Lepisosteus oculatus: one gene and its partner. The protein of the gene in region 1 purifies or fractionates together with the protein of each later gene. This does not show direct contact. Links are inferred from orthologs where the notes say so. Each region holds a gene or a part of one and is shown on either strand. Other genes may lie near its edges.

Region 1 (9,484 bases):
AGATACATTCTGAGGCTTTAGGGAAAGTCCTACATTGACAGGCTGAAAGAACAGAGCCCTTGCAGACTTGAACAGAGAAGATAATGGGGAGATCCAATACAAGTTTTCAAAGCCATCATGACTCAGCCCACCAAGAAGATTTCTTCAAAATGAAAAGTGAAACACAGACAAGAGAGAGCACAGATGGAAACTACATGGAAGCAAATTTCAAATGGGGAACATTTCTTGATGCAAAGGGTTGTAAAAGTACTGTAGGAACCAGTCAAGGTGTGGATACCCTTGTTCTTTCAAGAAACAGCTGGATGAGACCCGGAGATTAACTACTAATTAACAAAAAGACGAGATGGACCCCCTCTCGTTAGTAACCTCTCTTGCATTCTTATATACGATAAGCAAAGCAAGCAAAACGCGTTTCAATGTGGTCTGGTACAACATTCAAAACTAGCTCAGCTTTCAAAGAAACATAATTGAAAAACCAGCATTGGGAGCAATGTTGTGTTTCCGAAGGCAGTAGAGCCCGATTTTAAACAATGTTATCGGGCAGCAGTATATTCAAGCAAGTGGAAAAGTATAAGCCTCCTTTTCAAATATATCCAGCCTGGAAAGGTTGACTGAATTTTGATTCTGGATTAATAAGAAATCAAGCCATCCCTGCGTTCCTTTTTTAAAAAAAAAGCAATTTCCCTTTTAATAATGAAGTTACCCTCTCTTAGATTAAATAAATGTATATATTCATTCAAAGCACTGAAACATCCACCAGTTTGAAGGCAGCACCAAGCCACGATCAATGTATCATAATCTTCCGACAATCCACTCAAAGTGCAGTTAATCTAAGAAGCAAGTGCATCCAGAGTTTCACTTTTACACAGCACTGAATGACTGACAGTCTGCTCACGAAATTAGACTAAAGCTGTCCAGTAAAAAAAAATCCTTACCACTCGTTAATGCCGCGACCTTCCACAATCACCACTGCTTTTTACAGTTAGGGGACAACCGGGCTCCAATAATGGGGCGCCTCTCACAGACCCAGCCAGTGAGCCCTGTTTCGCGGCACCAGCAGAATAAGCACCTCCCTGATGGATTAAACCCCTGTGCAGTCTGACGATGGATTACCCTATGTGACATTTTTAAATGCTACAATTAAATATTGATGGAGGACTTCATTAACATCAGCAGAGCAGAACTCATCAGTAAAACCACTGTGCCCTTTGGACTGGTTGTATTTCATGTGGCTCTGTGCTTTCTCTCTGCTGCTGGAGAAGAGACGGATCGATGCTGTTCAAGGGATCTTTTATTCCACGCAGAAAGGGATGTTACCCTATTCCTAGGGTCACCTGTGGCACAACAGGGCCCTGATTTACCTTCGGATTCAGAAATCGGGCAGCTCCTCTATCTCGAGATTCCACCCCTTCTCCAGTCTTCCTAGATGCATCTCCAAATTTCAAATGCATCAGACTTGGATTGAAAATGAATGCCAAACCCATTGCCTAACCAATGTTATTGCCAGTCAGAAGGAGAAAAGGGATGTTCTTGAACATGCATTCATAGAGGAAAAGCTGTGCCTTTTCCCAGAGAAGCACAAACATGACAACAAACAGCTGACATCACCTCACAGGACCCTTAGTCATCCATCAGAAGGAGACAGCAATGTGTCACAGCTCACATTGTGCAATGAAGTACTAAGGGCTCATGGACACATTTCTCCTCCCTCAGTCAAGCCCCCCAACCTCCCAGTGGAGGGGTATCTATAGAAAGTTGGAAGACAAACTCTCCCCCCATCAACAGCAGAAAGAGGATCCCACAGAAATGCAGTCCGCAAAAGTTCCACTTGCCAAGATCTGTGGTTTTGCTCAACAAGAAACTATACTTCCTGCTCCTGTAACACTCCATTCATCACTCTCTCTCTTTAAAAAAATCACGTGAGGTACTTGTGTGAACCGAATACAATGTTTACATAGCGCAGTGGGTAATGCGAAGCTGCCTGCAATAACTTTTTAAAATATTGAAGCAATTTTTTTAACAGGGTTTTAACTTAAACATGGCCCTTTGTCTTAAAGAATCCTAAAGGTTTTTAACACAAAACAACTTCAATATTGTCATAAATACGGCAAGGGCACACGATATATGACAAACAGAACATCAAAAGAATTGATAAGCACTCCAACTGCATTGTAGCACAGGCAAACCAACAACAGTAGCACAAAACGCACGTTTTGTTGGTTGCATTTACTCCCTGTGGAAAGACGAAGGTTTTCAAACACATTACCAACCATTTGTCACATCAAAGCACAGGTTTAGAATTGTTACCGGTGGGAGTACACGCTATTTGTTTAAGGAAAAATGCAATAGTGCATTGAACTCCCACTCCCACATAAAAGCACACGGAAACTGCCTTCCCCCAGAAATAAACAGTTCTCTTAAACGTTCAACATGATGAGCACGTCCCATATTGTTTTTTTAAAGACCGTCTCTTTCCCCCCTTACGAATTACAATCTTAAACCAATATACCACCATGTTGCCCTGGTCACAACTAGTTTAATTTAATAAAATTATCTCGATCAAACGCTATAAGGGATGAAAACACTAGCGCTGGGAATCAGTTGATTTATAAGAAAAAGAAGTGCCTGCAACACTCTCAAAAAGAGGAACAATACCCCCCCTTTAGGCATTTCATACATTTGACAGAAACTTGTACGATTATCCCAAATACACCTCCTCACAGAACAAACTGCGCGAGCTGGTAGAGACGTGTTTTGTGGGCAATGCACCCCTAAACTGGTTGCTTACTGGGGTTTGAGATACACAAAATACGCAGAAACTCGTAAATTGTTTGCATTTTTTTCTCGATTTAAATTTACCACATAGTGCCCCATCAGAGCCATCACACTATAAAATGACTCATACTAATGGTATATTCCCTGCACTTTAGGTGCGTGTCATTAAACGATGTTTTAACTCCTCCGTAAAGGACAGTGTATGCGGTTATTGTCCGTTTTCCCACTGTAAATCCATTCAGGCGAGAACAACAGTTAATTTGGACATGAATGTGAATGGAACAGTTATGAATGTGCTGGAGCACGCGTTTTAAAACACCGAGCTACTTCGCTACATGATGCAAATAAACAAGGCGAAATAAACTACACCTACTCATATATACGGTATATATTAGCCAGCTGGTAGGTTGGACGAGAGACCAAAATTTGTTATAGAAGCATTTCGAAGGAATTAAAATGTAGTTAAAAATGCTAGAGAAACGCAAAGTACAAACCGAGAGCGAATCAGGATAGACCGATTTTTCTCAATAGACCGATAAAGTGCCTTATTAGAGTAACGGGTTTTGACGACTGGTCTTAATATCAATGGTAATAAACATGAAGGGGTGAACTGAAGGAAGAAACACAGATTTGTAAAAATATATGAGGAAATGCAACTTCTCTCCGCGTCCATCGGCGTGTCTAACTCCTAAGAAACTGCAGCACTTCAATTATTGTTAAACCATGTTCTGCAGCACGAGGAAACTAATCGATTTAGAAGCACACATTAAACCCCCAGCACTGGTCAAACTCCAGAGATGACACATTTTCCATGACTTTCACAAACTAGGAAGGCGACAGACAACAACACACGAATCCCCTAGCCGTACGCAGATGCAGAGATTTGTTCTCAGATTAGCGGGACCGTTAGACTGCAATTTTTCCCAGCTATGCCCTACCTTTACACGGGTGCTTAAAAATAAGATAAATGCAGATTGTATGAACGTCTCCTCACATTTGAAGCGTGCATTAAAACTAAAAATGCCCCCCCCTTTTAACTCTCAATACAGTTCACTGATACAATACGAGTCGGCATGCTTGCCACCAGAAAGAAACGGACGTCTTTCCCAAATGTTTCAACGTTACCTTATTAAAAGCAAAAAGGTCCTGTTTGATTTTCTCTCTTTGGGGATCATTCCCCTGTCTCCTGAACCTAAACTTCATCATCCTGAAGCCGGTGGGAAAATTAGTGAGAGCCAAGGGGAGAAAAAAAACCAAATTGTAAATTCCTTCTCAGGTTTGTATCAGTGCAAAACAATGAGATCCCATAGACAAGCTCCCGTTTCTTTGTAGTCTGTTCTCAAAGGCTGCAACTGGATACCGGGGAACTGGATACATTTCCGTCCAGATTGGCAACTGCTACAGCCAATTGGATCGGGGAGTTTATCTACCGGGATCCAATCAGAGAGGAGATGCTAGTGGGCAGGTCCGTAGTGGTTGATTACAGGAGACTGAACCGTGTGAGGATATTGTTCCAGCATCTGGGATTTGTAGTTTCGTCCCCGCTGCTCTCCTCAGTTTGCTTTTACAGTTGCGTTGCTTCACCAATGTGGGTCACGGGTGCCCAGCTCAGTGCGTACAAGAGAATTGCCACAGCTTTGCTTTTGTAACGAAGCAATAACGATAGCAGGACGACGAGCGTTGCGCTGATGCGGAATGGGTTCCTTCAGTGCTTCGGTCGCGCAGAGGTGTGTGTGGCGACACTGCTCCGACTGTAGAGAAACACGCTATTGCACTCACCGCAGCATCACGGAATAGTGTGATGCGCCACGTTTCTGCAGTGATCGTGAGTCCGCAGAGGGAAAACCCCTCTGCGATGGGGAGGGGGTTCCCTCCACGGTGTGTGTGTGTGTGCGCGGCTGAGGGATGGGCGAGGAAGAAGTTGAAGCCCCCTTAGACACATAACAGGCTGCGGCGCTCACGCATTCCAACCGCACCTCTGCAAAAGGAGAGGGGTTACCGAGGAAGGCGGTTTTACAGCTGTGCTGTGAGGGAACTGCGGTATTTTGGCATTTACCCCTCGTTTTACAATTAAAATAGCGTTATTAATTTTCTTCTTAAAGGTAGCGCGCTTCTAACACGTGTAACATTTTCTGGGGTTTTCCTTGCTGCGCGCATCGGTGCTTTTTACAACACAGCTGAACCATTGCAATGCGCCACACACACCGAGCAAACTGTTCTTTTTAAAGCTGAAAACATCCAGCTCAAGGCTGTGTTTAATTGGGGGGAAAAAGGGCCCTGTAGCACACGACAGAACACAGTTCTTATAAGTATTAATTACAATTGAACACGGAAGATGAAGACCAGATCTCAGTTGCTGAAAATGCTGAGGTCTGTAGGCGGCGTTCCCCCGAGCAGGTGAGAGCAGCCTGCTGTGCGATTCAGCAGCGACTGGAGAGAGGCGGGGGGGTGTCACACAAGTTAATATTGTGGACACATACAAACCACTGCAGCTCTGCTCCAGACAGGAAGGAGAGCCAGTCAGCACCTTCCTCGGCCTCGTCAATCTCACGCTGCAGGATGAGTCTTTTGGCAGCGAGAAGCGGTTGTTTTCCTGTAATGAGTAACGCTGAGCTGTCAGAAAACACCCCCAGCGCAGTCAGCGCGTAGTACAGGAAGCTGAGCTTAGACGAGCGTGTTTAGGTTTCATTGATATTCTATTGATGTTCAATTTACTATGAACTGAAGGTTTGTGGGATTTTAATAAAGCACCTATACACAGCAGTAATGACACCGACCCAAACCTGCTGTACTGTGTGTGCATGACGGCTTTGCCAAATACCTTTTTATTGTAAATTGAATATAAGCAGGGCATGAATCTTAAACCCCTTTTCTACAAGTTAATCTTGTGCATCTGGGATACTTCACGCGGATTTGTCTTCTGTGAAAACCAATCAACTACGAACGCATTTTCACGTCAAAATGCACGCCTGGTCTGCTGCAATTTCAAAACGCGTCAACCGTCAGAGAGGCAAGAGACTGCGGCGGCATTCTTTATTGATCACGTTAGGCTCGGCTGCGGTTTTTCTTTTTTGCTTTCCGAAAACGTCATCACGTTCAGACGTCTTGGCAATGAGAATGTGTGTGTGTTTTTTTTTTCATTCCCAAGGCGGGAGGAGAAGATGTGTTAAAGCTGATTTCATTGAATTTACAGCACAGCCCACACCGTAACGTTTTATGTCCAATAGGGGGGTATCTGCAATATATTTTACAAATGAGCGTGAATTTGAAAAATCGCAGAGATACATGCTGAGTAAGTCCCATCATTCACAGCATCCCTCTCCAGTAAAGCCCCGTTTTCATCTGTTTCTGCTCTTCAGGTTGGCAGGTCTGGAGGGGCGGGGTGGAGAGGGACAGTCTGTTTACGCAGAGCGCTGCTCACATGAACTTGACACTAGGCAGGCTTGGATCACAGCCAAGGCCGGGAAGCCAGAGGAACTATTCCAGACCCGAGCTATTCGGGGAGTACGCATTCCTATCAATCAGCTGCACGAAGGCTAATCAGCAGCGTTTCACCCCCATCGAAGGTGAAATGCCCGAGAGCTGGAAGAGAAAAAAACTGAAACGAGAAGAAGTGGCAGTTCTTCACGGCTGCGGCTGAACCGTGCGCCTGGCGTCCGCTGGCCGGGGGCGCAGACTCTCTGATTGCTCGACTTCTGATCGGCGTTTCCCGGGGTCTGGCGATGCTCTTTCTCGCTCACACTCCACGGCTTGACCTGAAGCGGAGACATTAACCAGAACCCGAGAGTACAACAGCCTCTGCAGTCACCCTCCCTCCCAATGTATCTCAAATGCAGTACGTTTTTGTCTGGTCTCATTCCAACACCTCACGACTCTCACGGAAATTCGTGCTGGACTGTGAAGCACACTTCTTCAGCGTGGGGAAAAAATAAATGTGTTTCTTTCAGACCCATGAAATCCCCTCCCTTTTTGCAACTGCAGAATTCGCTTACGACTGGGCTGTTAATACGGGTCCCATTCACCACACCCAGTCCATATAAAAATGTTTCATAAAATGTGAAGCAGAAGAAAGGCTTGTTGGGAGTAAATGCTTAACACGCCTTTCCCGCCCAGTTTCTAAATCTGAGTTTTTTCTCAAGGGTTAATCATTGATAATGGTAAACTACTCAGAACACAACTCCGCCGTCCTGGGAGTTAAGACTTCGTTCCTTAACATTGTTTTAACGTCTGACGCCCCCTTGTGGCAAAAATAATAAATATTTTAAAAAGAAGGCCGATTGCTGTTGGCGCCCTGAGGTTAAAAGTTCCGAGCTCGAGACTTCTGCCCTTAGAAAGTCTTTAATGTAAATAACCACACGATTTAATGTGAAATCGCTTCGAAACAAGATCTTGTATTTTCTTTCAAGATTAACATGGAAATAAAAAAATTCAAAGTTCATTCTCAAAACAGTCGACGGGATAATTTGCTGTATAAATGATCAAGCCTTTATCCTTAAGTCATTAGAAAACCATTTTATTCCCGGTGTTCACTGTGTTCAAGGGGGTATTACAGCATGGGCAGGACGGCATTGAAGTCAGAAACGACGTCAACTGAATTGAGCTAATTCAGTTATGCCCCAGTATAGTGACGGGGACACTATACTGTAAAGAAAAGGCGCCGTCGTTCGGATGAGACGTAAAAACCGAGGTCCTGACTCTCCGTGGTCATTAAAAATCCCAGGGTGTTTCTCGAAAAGAGTAAAGGTGTTAACCCTGGCGCCCTGGCCAAATTTCCCATTGGCCTTTTCCAATCATGGCCTCCTAATAATCCCCATCTATGAACTGGCCTCATCACTCTGTTCTCCTCCCCACTGATAGCCGATGTGTGGGGAGCGTTCTGGCGCACTATGGCTGCCGTCGCATCATCCAGGTGGGGGCTACACACTGGTGGTGTGGAGGGGAGTCCCCATTACCTGTAAAGCGCTTTGAGTGGAGTGTCCAGAAAAACGCTATATAAGTGTAAGGGATTATTTTGTACTGTGTATGTCCCGAGAGATCAGCGCGATTAATTCTAATATATGTGTACATACGACAATAAACTACTCTCTACTGATGTTTCACTGGTGATTCTGAAGACGTTTAAGCAGGCGCCTTGGAGGATTATGAATACTTGGATCACAGCTTTTAAGGGAGGGCTTTTTGAACACATGGGGAAGGCCCTCTTCCTAGTGTGGTTGACCAAAGCTGTTTCTCATCACCTGCACCTACCCTCTGTTCCCTATACTTTCCGATTGTGTCCTCTGGATAACTGTGGATTCCGAGGACATCTGTAGATTTGACAAATACCTTTGAAGATTTTGAACACTTGCATCAGGCCCCCTTGTCGTCTTCTCAAGTCTTTCATCCAAGAGCTGTCCAACACTTGTGCTGGAGGACTGGTGGGTCTACAGGTCTTTTAGGTTCCTTTGAAACAGTAGCATCTGAACAGTGGGAAAGGTGGGTGAAATGGCCTATTAAAGTCAATCACAAGCCAAGGAAGGTCAATTAGATTTCAGCTGGGATGAAAAATGTGCCAACACCTTGGCCCTGCACGAATAGGACTGGTCAGCCGTGTCTCAGCCCGCCAGAGTGACATATTCCTTTGAGCCCGGGAACGGACCGGGTTGCTCTTTCCTGATTGATTCCTGAGCAGTCACGTCACTTTTCTGTGCTTGGACTCAAAATTGAACCCAATACAAACAGTGCCTTGACATCTTGAATCAAAAATTGTCAGCGCCTGAGTTGAACATCTTATCCGAGCCAGTATGTCCTTGGAAGGTGAAGGGATACGCTGAGTGCTTGGACTCCCCCCAACAAAAAGAATAAAAACATGCAAACTCCACATAGAAAATGCCTCCATTCAGAGAAGTCCAGGACTCGAGAGCTGTGAAGACGCAGTGCTGCTAGAATCAGGTGAGTGGCGTCTCTTTAGCTGCTGATACTTGGACAGGTTAATTTGAGACATTTCAAAAATATTTTTCACTTGCATGTACATAGAATATCACTCATTTCACTTCACAATTGCCCTGCTTTTAAATTTATTAATGAGAAGCACTTATCCTACCTTTGATGAGATTATGACCAGATCAATATTATAAGATATGCTGATTTAACAAAACCAAACCAAAATCAAAAGCGTCTTTCTGCTTTAATTCAAACAAAACTTATTACACTTATGAATACAACCCTTATATAAAACTCACTTTGCTTATTGAACTATTTGTAAAGAAAAAGACCAATATTTCCCTGGATTGCTAATCATGTGTGCCTGTTATATTATATCAAAATGCTCTTCAGCAAAAATACATTTTGTTGTAAGATCGCATACTCCACACAGGGAGACAGCTGTACATAAAAGTCCCATACACAATAACTTCTTCGTACATTCTGGTGAAAGCTAAAATTATGATTGCATTTAACCTGTGACTGCATACTGTATATTAATCTCCACTGTGGAATTTCTGCATTAAAACAATTCCTAATATAAACAGAATTTACTATTTTTTGTGAGGGAAAATTAATTCACTTTCATAAGGAAATGGATTTTCTACAGAAATCTCACTGTTGATGTCGGCAAATACATTGACAGATCTATATGTCTATGCAATAATAGAAAAATATAACTGAGGTGTAATCATTTTCAAAATAATGCCATTAATGGATTAAGTATTTTTAAAATGGATTTAAACTT
Region 2 (10,011 bases), on another chromosome or scaffold:
TTGCTGAAAGAAGTCAGGGTATTGACATCAACCTCACAGCCGGACAGTGGAAACCCACAACCCTTTGCGTAAACAAGGATCTCCTGTTTTAAGTATTTAGCTCACTAGCAAGCCTGCTTTGCTATTGGCTGCTCAGGGGCCCAGCCCTACTTTACTGGAGATAAATTACCAACTTAGTAGTAAGCAGTGAACCAACAGGGGATAAGAGGGGAGTGACGTGTTGAGATATCAGACTATTAAGGTCTTAAATGGAAAAAGCAAGCACAAACTAAGAGCTAAATTAAACCAGCAGGAGAGAACAAAATCATCACTGCTTTCATCCAATGCACTTGAAATCTATTTTTACTTGACATCTGCTTTAATATACAGAATGCTTAATTTATACTTTCATTTCTTTCCTTAAAATTCTTCCTTTTAGAATTCCATCTGCTGCCTCTACTCTTCAGGGCTTGATAATCCCCTCTTTTGCTTTCATCTGCGGGCCTGACCTGTTTATTAACCACAGCAGAATCTAAATTACCCAGGTAAATTGGAAAGAGTAACGTCAGAGTCAGACCCCAAAGAACAAACCTTTATCTCATACATAACCTGTGCACTGAATCCTGAGGAGCACTCCTGAAGTATTTCAGTACATTTACACAATAGTTGTCTGGCTCTGTTAGCTTCTGTCTGTTAAAACATGAGCAGCTTCAATGACGAATGAAGAAGGCTTCTATAGCAAAACCATGAAATGACCAATGATTCTTATACATGTTTAGCTCCTAGCTCCTGATTTCCAAAAATGGTAATAATTTAGAAATATGATTCTTCTTTCCATTAAATTTTTCTTTGTGAGACAAAATCAATCTACATCAAGTACCAAAGAAAACTTTGCTTTCAAGCTGCATTAATCTGGACAATTCACATTAAACTACTTTTTGCGTTTCTATCGGGAATCTATTCAGGGGTGATTCACGCAACAGCGGATTTTGTTAATTTTCAGACTTTGCACTTTGCTGACATCAAAAAATTAAATTTGAGCACGACAGGTCTCCATTGCAGCTTAGTCGCCAATGTAATTTGGAGGCATCTAATGTGAGAACTGACATCAAGCTTTTAAGATCCGAAAGCTACACAACTGGTTGAAGTTCTAGTAAAGCAGCAAAGACGGGTGACCAGAAAACACGCAAGAATTCCAAGATCTTAGTAATAAAAAAAGAATGAAGCAAAAACCATGCCTTGATATTTACAGACCACAATTCGCTCTCATTTTTAAGAAGTATTACGCATCATATTTTCGAAATAGCTGCGAATCAATGGTTTGTTTCCGCGTAATTTCACTGGGTTAAATGCCAGATACAAAACCTACACGATGTCTACTACAAACGCGTAGATGTAAACACAGAGCAATGGGTAACAGCACGAAAGCTGTCGTCTGTTTTTTTTCTTTTAATGTAACAACATATAAAAGATCAAATTTCCTGGGAAGGGAATACATGACGGTTAGCATCCGTGCTCGTGTGCAGATTGCTGGAGGAGGCGTGTAAAAGTCTCTCGGGACTGCAGAAGAAGCTCAAAGCTCAGCTGTCAATCACAGTACTGCCTCGTCTCACCTTTTGAGCGAGTACACCTGTACTGTGAGAGTCGGCCTCGCCTCCTACGGAGAAGGAAGTGGAGTCACTGATGTGCTGTGATGTGAAACTGGAATTCCAAACACCTTAACTCCCAATACACCGTGTTCGAGGCCCCAGCGGATAAGTTCATTCAGTAGGTTGTGTTTACAGGAATGCACGGACTGCAACGTAATTTTCCGCCTACACGATTGTCATAAACACGCCATCCCTTCGGTTAATAATAGGAAGCGCCACGTTTCACCAGCGCCATAAAGAATTAATGACTCGGATACAGTTCACGGCTGAAGAATCGGTTACCTGCCTGCCACCGGAGATCCAACAAATGAAATGGCCACTCGAGACACGGCGATTGCTGAATAACCAACCCCATTTTAACTCGTCATCTTATACGAGTCAACTAAACTCCTTAAATAATCTATTCGCTGTCAGTTTCGTTCAGGAGAGTTGTAAACTCTCGTTTTAATAGAGTTTATTACAAAGACACTAAGTGTAAGTATCGATGTAAACACGTTTTGATTTCAAGTCATAATCAAGCTTTCATCAGATGCTCATCTGAAAAGATTCCAGTCCTTTAAAACGAGTCTTCTTAAAATTGGATGCAGTTTAGCTACCCACAACCGGATAGGCCCTCGGCTTTTACCCCTTTCTTTAGCACACAGGATGCGCTCCCCATGTGAAAATCTTTATTAACACCTTCATTCAAGACCGGTTATGGCTCAGAAGCATTAGAAAAAAATAAAACAAACTCATAAACTTAATGGTTATTTACCTAGTGCTACCTGACAGGCTTTCCTTAGCTGACTGTGCTGAGCTCGCTTCACCTCCTTATCGGACAGGATTTTCTCTAAAGCCCGGGACAAAAACATGCTCTTGGTTTTGCTGCTTTCCTCCTTCTGTTGCATTGCTTTCCGTGCTTCAGATCGCCATTGCCAACGGAATCCCACGCTCCGAGACGGTTAAACGGCATGAATTAAAACTCCACAAGGAGAGTGAAGGTGTACGGAGCTGCTACCTCAGCACTGCGCCGCCATGTTGGCAACATCTCGTCACGTGACTCTCAGCTGCTTCCATTGACGTAGAGCGGCCGGGAGCTCCAGCTCAGTTAATGTGAATTTGCATGGGGTAGGTTACACGCTGCACTTTTGGGACCTTTCAGCAATATCTCCGTGTTGCCACTGAAATCCTTGTTATTTGCTTAAAGATTGCTCTCGGACTTAGAAGATAAACCTCCCTAAATGACGTTACTGTCACTGACGGGGACAATGTTAAGGAGTCTTGTGGTCAAGTGTAGTTCTGTCATTTAAAATGAGTACTTGTGGTTCAATAAATAGTTTCCGTATCATTGAAACTATATAATTAAGATGTACTACAATTATGTGTTATTTATTAAAATTACGGGTCTGATGTGTGCGAGTGCAATACAGAAGTCGAGCATTTATTGTTCTGCATTTTAAATCCGACTTCTACGATATTATCGGGTTCGTTTGAAAACATCAGGAAAAGCGAATGAAGATGTATGATTTATAAATGTAATGGGATACGTCATATCGCAATTCGGACACAGGTGCACTCCATTATCATGCACAAACTACATAGGAGTGTCATTTTCTTAACAAAATGTGATCACGAATGACGTCATTGGAGCTGTGCATCATTGTCATCATGACAGAGAATGAAGTATTTTTCCTGGAAAATAGTGCTACCTCAGCCTACACAACTACAACAAACGTCACAAGAATCTAATCTGTCAAAGTCAGAGTTTTCCTCCCTGCCTACGAATCATCGACTCGCGCACAATCTACATAAAAGTTATGAACGAGAAGACATCAGACCCTCTATCCCGTTCGGTAATAATTGATCCCATTACCTCATCCACCTATTTCTTGAAAGGAGCCAATGTTGTGCCTTCACCTACACGCCAGGGCACCTTGTTACAAACTCCTACCACCCTTCGTGTAAAGAAGGGTCTCCTGTTCTTATCTTTAAATGCACTTTCACTTAGGTTTCTACTTGTGGCATCCGGTTCGCGTTTTATTATTTCTTCTGAACAATTCCACTGAGCACCTTAACTTTTTATGATTTTAATACCTTGGTCAGATCACGTTTTTAGTCTTCTGGATGAGAAATTTCCATATTATAGCAGGAAGTGAATAAAATGTATTATAGTAAAGCGAAACATTGAACTGTATTATTGTACAGTAAAATGTCTACACATCTATACCCATTTATAGATTTCTACTAACCCGTGATTACAATAACGTTTAGCGTGTCAGTGCGGGACATTCTTTTGAACTCGAAATCTTTAGGCGATCTGGGATTAATGAAGTTCCAAACGAAGGTTCGGGATCACCAGGCTCGCCCATTTCCGTTCACCTCCGTGGAAATATCCCGATTCGTGAACACCTCCTCTCTCTCCTTATAAGCGCGCACTGCGTCCTCCGCCCCAGTATCACCCGAGAAGCGGCACCCCTGGCCTAACCCTCATAAAACTGGGAGGCTCTGGCATCCTCTCTCGTCCTTACTGCCAGGCTGAGGTCATCTCAGGCGCACAAATCAAGACAATAAATCCATAAAATTCAAATGACCTCTCTACTCTGGATTGATTAGGGTTTGGTGTGACAAGGGGTGGTAGTTTCAGATAAGATCCAGAGGATGGCGGTAAAATTAAACAGACAACCTAACTAAATTTCTTTAGTTTTCGCGTTTTATTTCAAGTACTCGGTCATTCCCAGATACCCCTAAATACTGCTACCAAGACGCGTGTCCCCTCGGTATTGAAAGAGAAGAAAACAGCAAGTCAACGGGGCGCTGTTTTGAACTCGGTTCCTTGCACGATTTTAATAATAATAATAATAATAATAATAATAATAATAATAATAATAATAATAATAATAATACTTGCTTACAGTTATATAGCGCTTTTTCTGGACACTCCACTCAAAGCGCTTTACAGGTAATGGGGACTCCCCTCCACCACCAATGTGCAGCTTCCACCTTTTATGCAGGGGTTGTGCTTAGGAAAGTTTCCCCCCAACATAATACAATATACTATATATATATATTTCCTACTTCAAACGTTTGGCATGTCTGTGACCATTTAATACTCTTTTCCCAGCATTTTCTGGCATTAAGAGTAATAATGATGGGGCTTGCTAGGTGTACTTGCTAGTGTTTCTTACGTACTGTAGGTTTTTCGTCCCGTGACTATAATCAGCAGACGTCGTGGAACTGTGGAGTACTGGAAAATGGCAAAAGTTCTGTGTCTTACTGAGAACACTGTGTGGTACTCAGTTCTGAACGGAACTTTGCAACTTAAGAAAGGAATCTGGTACTGGGGCTAGAGACGTAAACACGACATAAATAATAAAGCCCCATTGGTCTGGAAAATAATTTATAATGTGGCAATTTGATTCGGATACCCGTGGTCTTAAAAAGTACTGTCAAAGTCTATCCCGACTGAGTGAATCAAACAGATTAATAAAGAATCGCAGAAAATAGGGCACACACGTCATTCAGGCGCCAGGACCCCAGGAACAACCCCGCCGTAATATTTTTGAAGACATGGAAGCTATCTAATAATGAAATGGGCAGCAAGGCCTTTCAGTTATACTCTTCTCAACCTGCTCAATGTACTGTCTTTTTCTTTTACACAGTCATGACAACCCAAGGAGCGACCAAAATCAACACGATGGGGTGTGATGTGTGAAACCACGTGTTGATTTTTATCGGGTGGCACTGGGCTAAAAGAAAATGCCGCCTAATATCTCCCGAGGAGAGGAGAGTGACTTATACAGGGACACAGATGAGTTACATGCAAGAATTTAAAATGGGCAATTGACAATTGTACAGTAACAAGAGCCCCTCTTGCTTTCTTCTTGAAACAAAGCAACGTATATCGGCATAAATTAAACCTGCTTTGACTTGTGTTCACAAACTGTTACAGCGTTTTATCCTGGCCGATTTCCCATAGTCATGAAATACTGATCCATTCGGAAAATAACAGAAAATAGGAGCGATGTATCTCACATTACAGAGTGTGCACGACTGCTGCACAACATTAAAAGGGATACGTGGAAATTCCTGCATTCCTGTGGTTTATATCCTTACATATTTCCACACGTATATTGTTCCTTATATGTTTTTCCTTTAAATCAGATCTGGAGGGTATTTGCAAACACATTGATATTTATTTAATAACTATACATATTAAAATATGGTATTGTGTACAATATGATAGAAAACAATTCGAAAATATTTTCACAGATATTGTAAACGGGGGACGCAGCTGCTGTATTTGCACGACGCTTGTTTCCAAGACATTGTTTACAGTTGTTGCTTGTTTCCACTGTTAAAATGAAAATGTCAGAAGGAAGTAACAGCCAGTTTGGATATGTTGTGAAAACAATTTGCTTGTGTGCTGAAATAATAATAAACATCTTCCTTTTAAAAAGTGAAATAATGTTATTAAATGTGTTTTCAACTTTGAACAGACAACAAAATCCAGTAAGAGGGTGTCTGTTACAGCCGGCCGTCCTCTTCTGCTGGAGTTTTAAAGCATCATGTGCTTTATAGAGTTATTTGCATGTACAGAACAGACGCGTGCGGGACAGCGCTCCCCGGAAAGGAACGAGTGCGCGCAAGGCGACCGCCGCGGACCTGAGAGGCAGAAGCGCGCAGCATTGTACCGACGGGAGCGCGCGTCGCCGAAACGAGGCTGCCCTGGAGCCGTTTCCTGGGTGCGGATTGCGTCACCGCCGAGGCGCTGCGAGTGTGCGTGTGAGCGAGAGAGAGAGTTTGAAAGCAGGTTGTTGTCAGGCGGAGGCGACCAGAGCGAGCTTGCAGGAGAGGGAGACGTTGCGAGAAAATACCGAAACTGGCACAAGACGCGCGTGTGTGCGTGGGGGTGGGCTGGTTACATTGCAATACCTGGATTACAGCGGACCCACTCTCCCGCGGATACAAAACAGAGGAGTGAGCCGGACCAGCGGGGGCAGTAGCCCTGGGGAGGGCGAGACTGACAAATAACAGGGTGTCCTGGCGAGAAAAGATGAATAAAAATCACCGAGTGCCGAGCAGCCGGACTCTGAGCGCCGTGGAGGTGAAGAGCAAGGTGCGTACGGCTCAACGGGCCACTCCAGACCTGCGTGTTGCGGCATTCCCGGGTCGAACCGAGCCTGCCCGGGCTGCTTCCGTGGGTGACGGCGCACCGTCGGTCTCTTGTGTTAGGTATTTAAAAGTTGTCCCGGATCCCCGCTCCCCGGAGAGCAGGGCATCGGGCCACTTCAAACCTGCGTGTTGCGGCATTCCCGGGTCGAACCGAGCCTGCCCGGGCTGTTTTCCGTGGGTGACGGCCGTGGAGAGTGACCGGCCGGCGTGGGCTCGCAGGACCCGTAACTAGTAACACAGCCGGCGACGGCAGCGGCGGGTAATTAAAAAAAAAAAACAACCTGATCGGGTCGTGGAAATCGACCTTCGACTTCCAGCAACAAAACAACAACAAACCCAGTCGCCTTGGCTGGCAGCTGTGAATTACAAGAGACGAGGGTCGCCCCGAAGGGTCTGTTGTAGTTGAAGCGTCGCCTAGTTTAAAGACACCCGATGCTTGATCATCGATAATGTCACCTGGCGCTGCGTTTTTACGATACTTCCAGCCAAAGGGCTTAGTTTGTAAAACGTTTCGTTTGCGGGGAACGCGGGGGAACTCGGATTTTCTGTTCTTTGAACTTGAGCGCTTCTGCACTCATTTGAGCCGACGCTGTCCTGCAGGTTTTAGGTCTCCGATGTATCTTTTCATGGGGGGGAGTCTCTTAGCCTGCTCTTAATCTTCTTTCATTCTTAAATCGAGCAATATCGGACAAAGACGCACTTCACAGGACGTTCCCAAAACAGCTGTGAAACTTTCCACCTCCCTCGACACCACACTCCTTAAAGCCGTTGAAGAAACACTTTTTTTTTATCGGGCTCTTTTTGTTTGTTTTTGCCCCACGCAATGGAAAGGGAGTTCGGTAGCACTGTGTCACAGTTCAGATTAAATCGCTGTCCTGACACGGTGTGCGCTTTAAAGAACATGTTGCTACGGTTATTGTCGCTGTAAACTTCATGATCACCACTCATACATGGCCGGGCCCTGGCGCGTACGGTGTGAGATGGAAACAGAATGTGAAAATGTAAAAGTGACAAAGTTTCACACTCTTTTTTTTAAGGCTCGGTTTCTGAGCCATTAAAATAATGTTTCTGTTTTAAACAGTCTTCTTGAAAAGATAGCGGTGAATTTGTACAGGTACCTTGATTTATTGTACTGAGGTACAATGTGTCTTATTGCTGCATGTCACACATATGGAGTAGGGCCATGAGAAACTAACTGCACATCATGCTCTCTTAAATGTATTTTATTATCTTAAAGGATTTAAAACACACCTGTAACAGTGGTGTAGAATTCTTATTTTTATCCCGTCCCTCCTTATGTCCAACACCTGAAGAAGGCTCCACGGCCGAAACGTTGTGTTCTCTTTCTTCTTTTTTTCAGCATGGAATAAACCTATTACTTGTTCCTTGTCTAATGTTGTTCAGGGTTCAGCAGCTGTTTGTAATTTGTTAGTTGTAGGATTTTGTTTGTGTTGCTGTTAGTTCTTTCCAAGTAACAAGTCTCATTACTTATGTCTTGAGTTGCAGGTTGGGCCCATCATAAATTCTTGGGTGAGATTGAATTTAATATTACACCTAACAAGGGTCAGAACCACCCAAAAAAGCCCATCGCAAATTTTAAACAGACATTAATCTGAGCACACTCTCTCTATATATTGGGTTTTTAAACACAACTGTGATGCTTGTTTTACTCCACGCGTTGTGGTTTTTCAGACGCTTACCCGACCTCAGCCCAAAACCAACCTCTACCCTCAATGCTGTCTGAAACACTTCCAGAAATAAAAATGCTACTTAACAGTAAAAACAATTTGGTCAGAAATATGGTAAATTAACTTATCTATTTGAAAGTATCATTGGACCATTTTGGTTCACTTTTTTTTGTTCCAAAGCATTTTATAGAAAACTGAAAACTCTTTTTTTCCCGTTTTTCTTTTGTTTCAGTTTCGTTTCATAGCACTTCAATATGTAACTGTAAGATTTGCTTAACAGAAGAAAAGATCACGTTGGTTTTGTGTAAAAAATGAAACAAACATTAGATGTCATTCCCATATTACTGTCATAATATTATCCAGTGGCAATACATATCCTGAGGGTTTTTCATAGATCTGATAAGAAGCTTGACGTTGCAGTATTTGGTTCAAGAGCTTATTCACCCAATAATGAATGTCTAACATAGGAAGTTCTGTTTGCATTGGTATTGTGCTTTACATGCCTTCCCTGGACCTTTCTATAGGAAGTACAAATTTGATCAGATTCGTTTGTGAAGAAGAAGCACAGTCTTATCACACAGTGCCTTAAAGTTCGTTGGTCATTACATATGAACTTGAACTTGGGCACGACTTGAATAAATCACAGTCCAAAAGTTTATGGTGCAACGGAATATAGTAGGATGGTAACGGAGATCTTTTTGGGTTTTGGTGTAATCTTTGATTATGTATATCTTGAACAGATGACTGGCCCGCTGGCCATTCTGTTGATGAAACCTTGATGATGAAATTGTCAAAAAGTATAATGGAAGCCAGAAAAGTTAGAATGTTGCCATGCTGGGGAGGGTCAGTTCTTTGCCCAGAAATTAACATCTGCATATTAGGTGTGTTGTTTTCTGAATTTATGAGAACGGTTATTACTTAGTTCAGCACATTGTAATGTATTATTATTATTGGCACAGAAAGTTCAATGAAAGTGTGGCTCTAATCTTAACAGGAAAGCATTTATTTGCTCAGCAGAATTAAGGTTTTTGTCATGAACACACCCTGCCTGGCTTAGCAGTCAACAAGCCCTCTCTATCTGAAGAGAGGGCTAATAACCAAATTATAGGTGAGCGGTCTATTGTGTTTTGCTCCTGACGGGTTCTTGTGTTTGTGCCTAGTTTATGCTTGGTATAGTCTGTAAGACTCCGAAATGTACTCCTTGAGGAGCGTTTGAAATGTAACCTGGAGGACTTCTGCAGAAGGGAAAAAAACCCACTTGTTTTAGGATGGTTTTGATACATTGTCATCCCCACCTGCTCCTCGTAAGGGTTCACTTATTAGTGACTGTTTAGTCACCTGCAGTGCGGAAGCAAGGGAATAAATGTCTAAAGAAGCAAGCCGATCAGTTAAAGAACTGTAGCACATTGCTAACTAATCCAAAGCTGAATTTAAGAATGCAAAGAAAGTGTTGTTAGGTGATGTAGTGATGCTGAGGTTGAGTCAGTCCATCAGTCTGTTCTTGGTTTGTTTCAATTGATCACTGTCAGTTCTCAAAACTGTAC

What was found.
Region 2: the proteins of llgl1 (region 1) and pard6b purify together in Homo sapiens (affinity purification with mass spectrometry; 5 studies listed by BioGRID and IntAct, counting the BioPlex papers as one, with this or other methods). This does not show direct contact. The link is inferred for Lepisosteus oculatus from reciprocal best matches to the Homo sapiens genes LLGL1 and PARD6B.

The regions. Positions count from the first base shown.
Region 1 is NC_090714.1:11,060,821-11,070,304, forward strand, and holds the start of llgl1 (lethal(2) giant larvae protein homolog 1), read right to left. Parts: upstream 4,577-9,484; 5' UTR 3,982-4,576; coding exon 3,901-3,981; intron 1-3,900. UniProt on the Homo sapiens protein: Cortical cytoskeleton protein found in a complex involved in maintaining cell polarity and epithelial integrity. Involved in the regulation of mitotic spindle orientation, proliferation, differentiation and tissue organization of neuroepithelial cells.
Region 2 is NC_090711.1:9,496,539-9,506,549, forward strand, and holds the start of pard6b (partitioning defective 6 homolog beta), read left to right. Parts: upstream 1-6,330; 5' UTR 6,331-6,660; coding exon 6,661-6,723; intron 6,724-10,011. Other genes in the region: brefeldin A-inhibited guanine nucleotide-exchange protein 2, read right to left, coding at 2,383-2,515. UniProt on the Homo sapiens protein: Adapter protein involved in asymmetrical cell division and cell polarization processes. Probably involved in formation of epithelial tight junctions.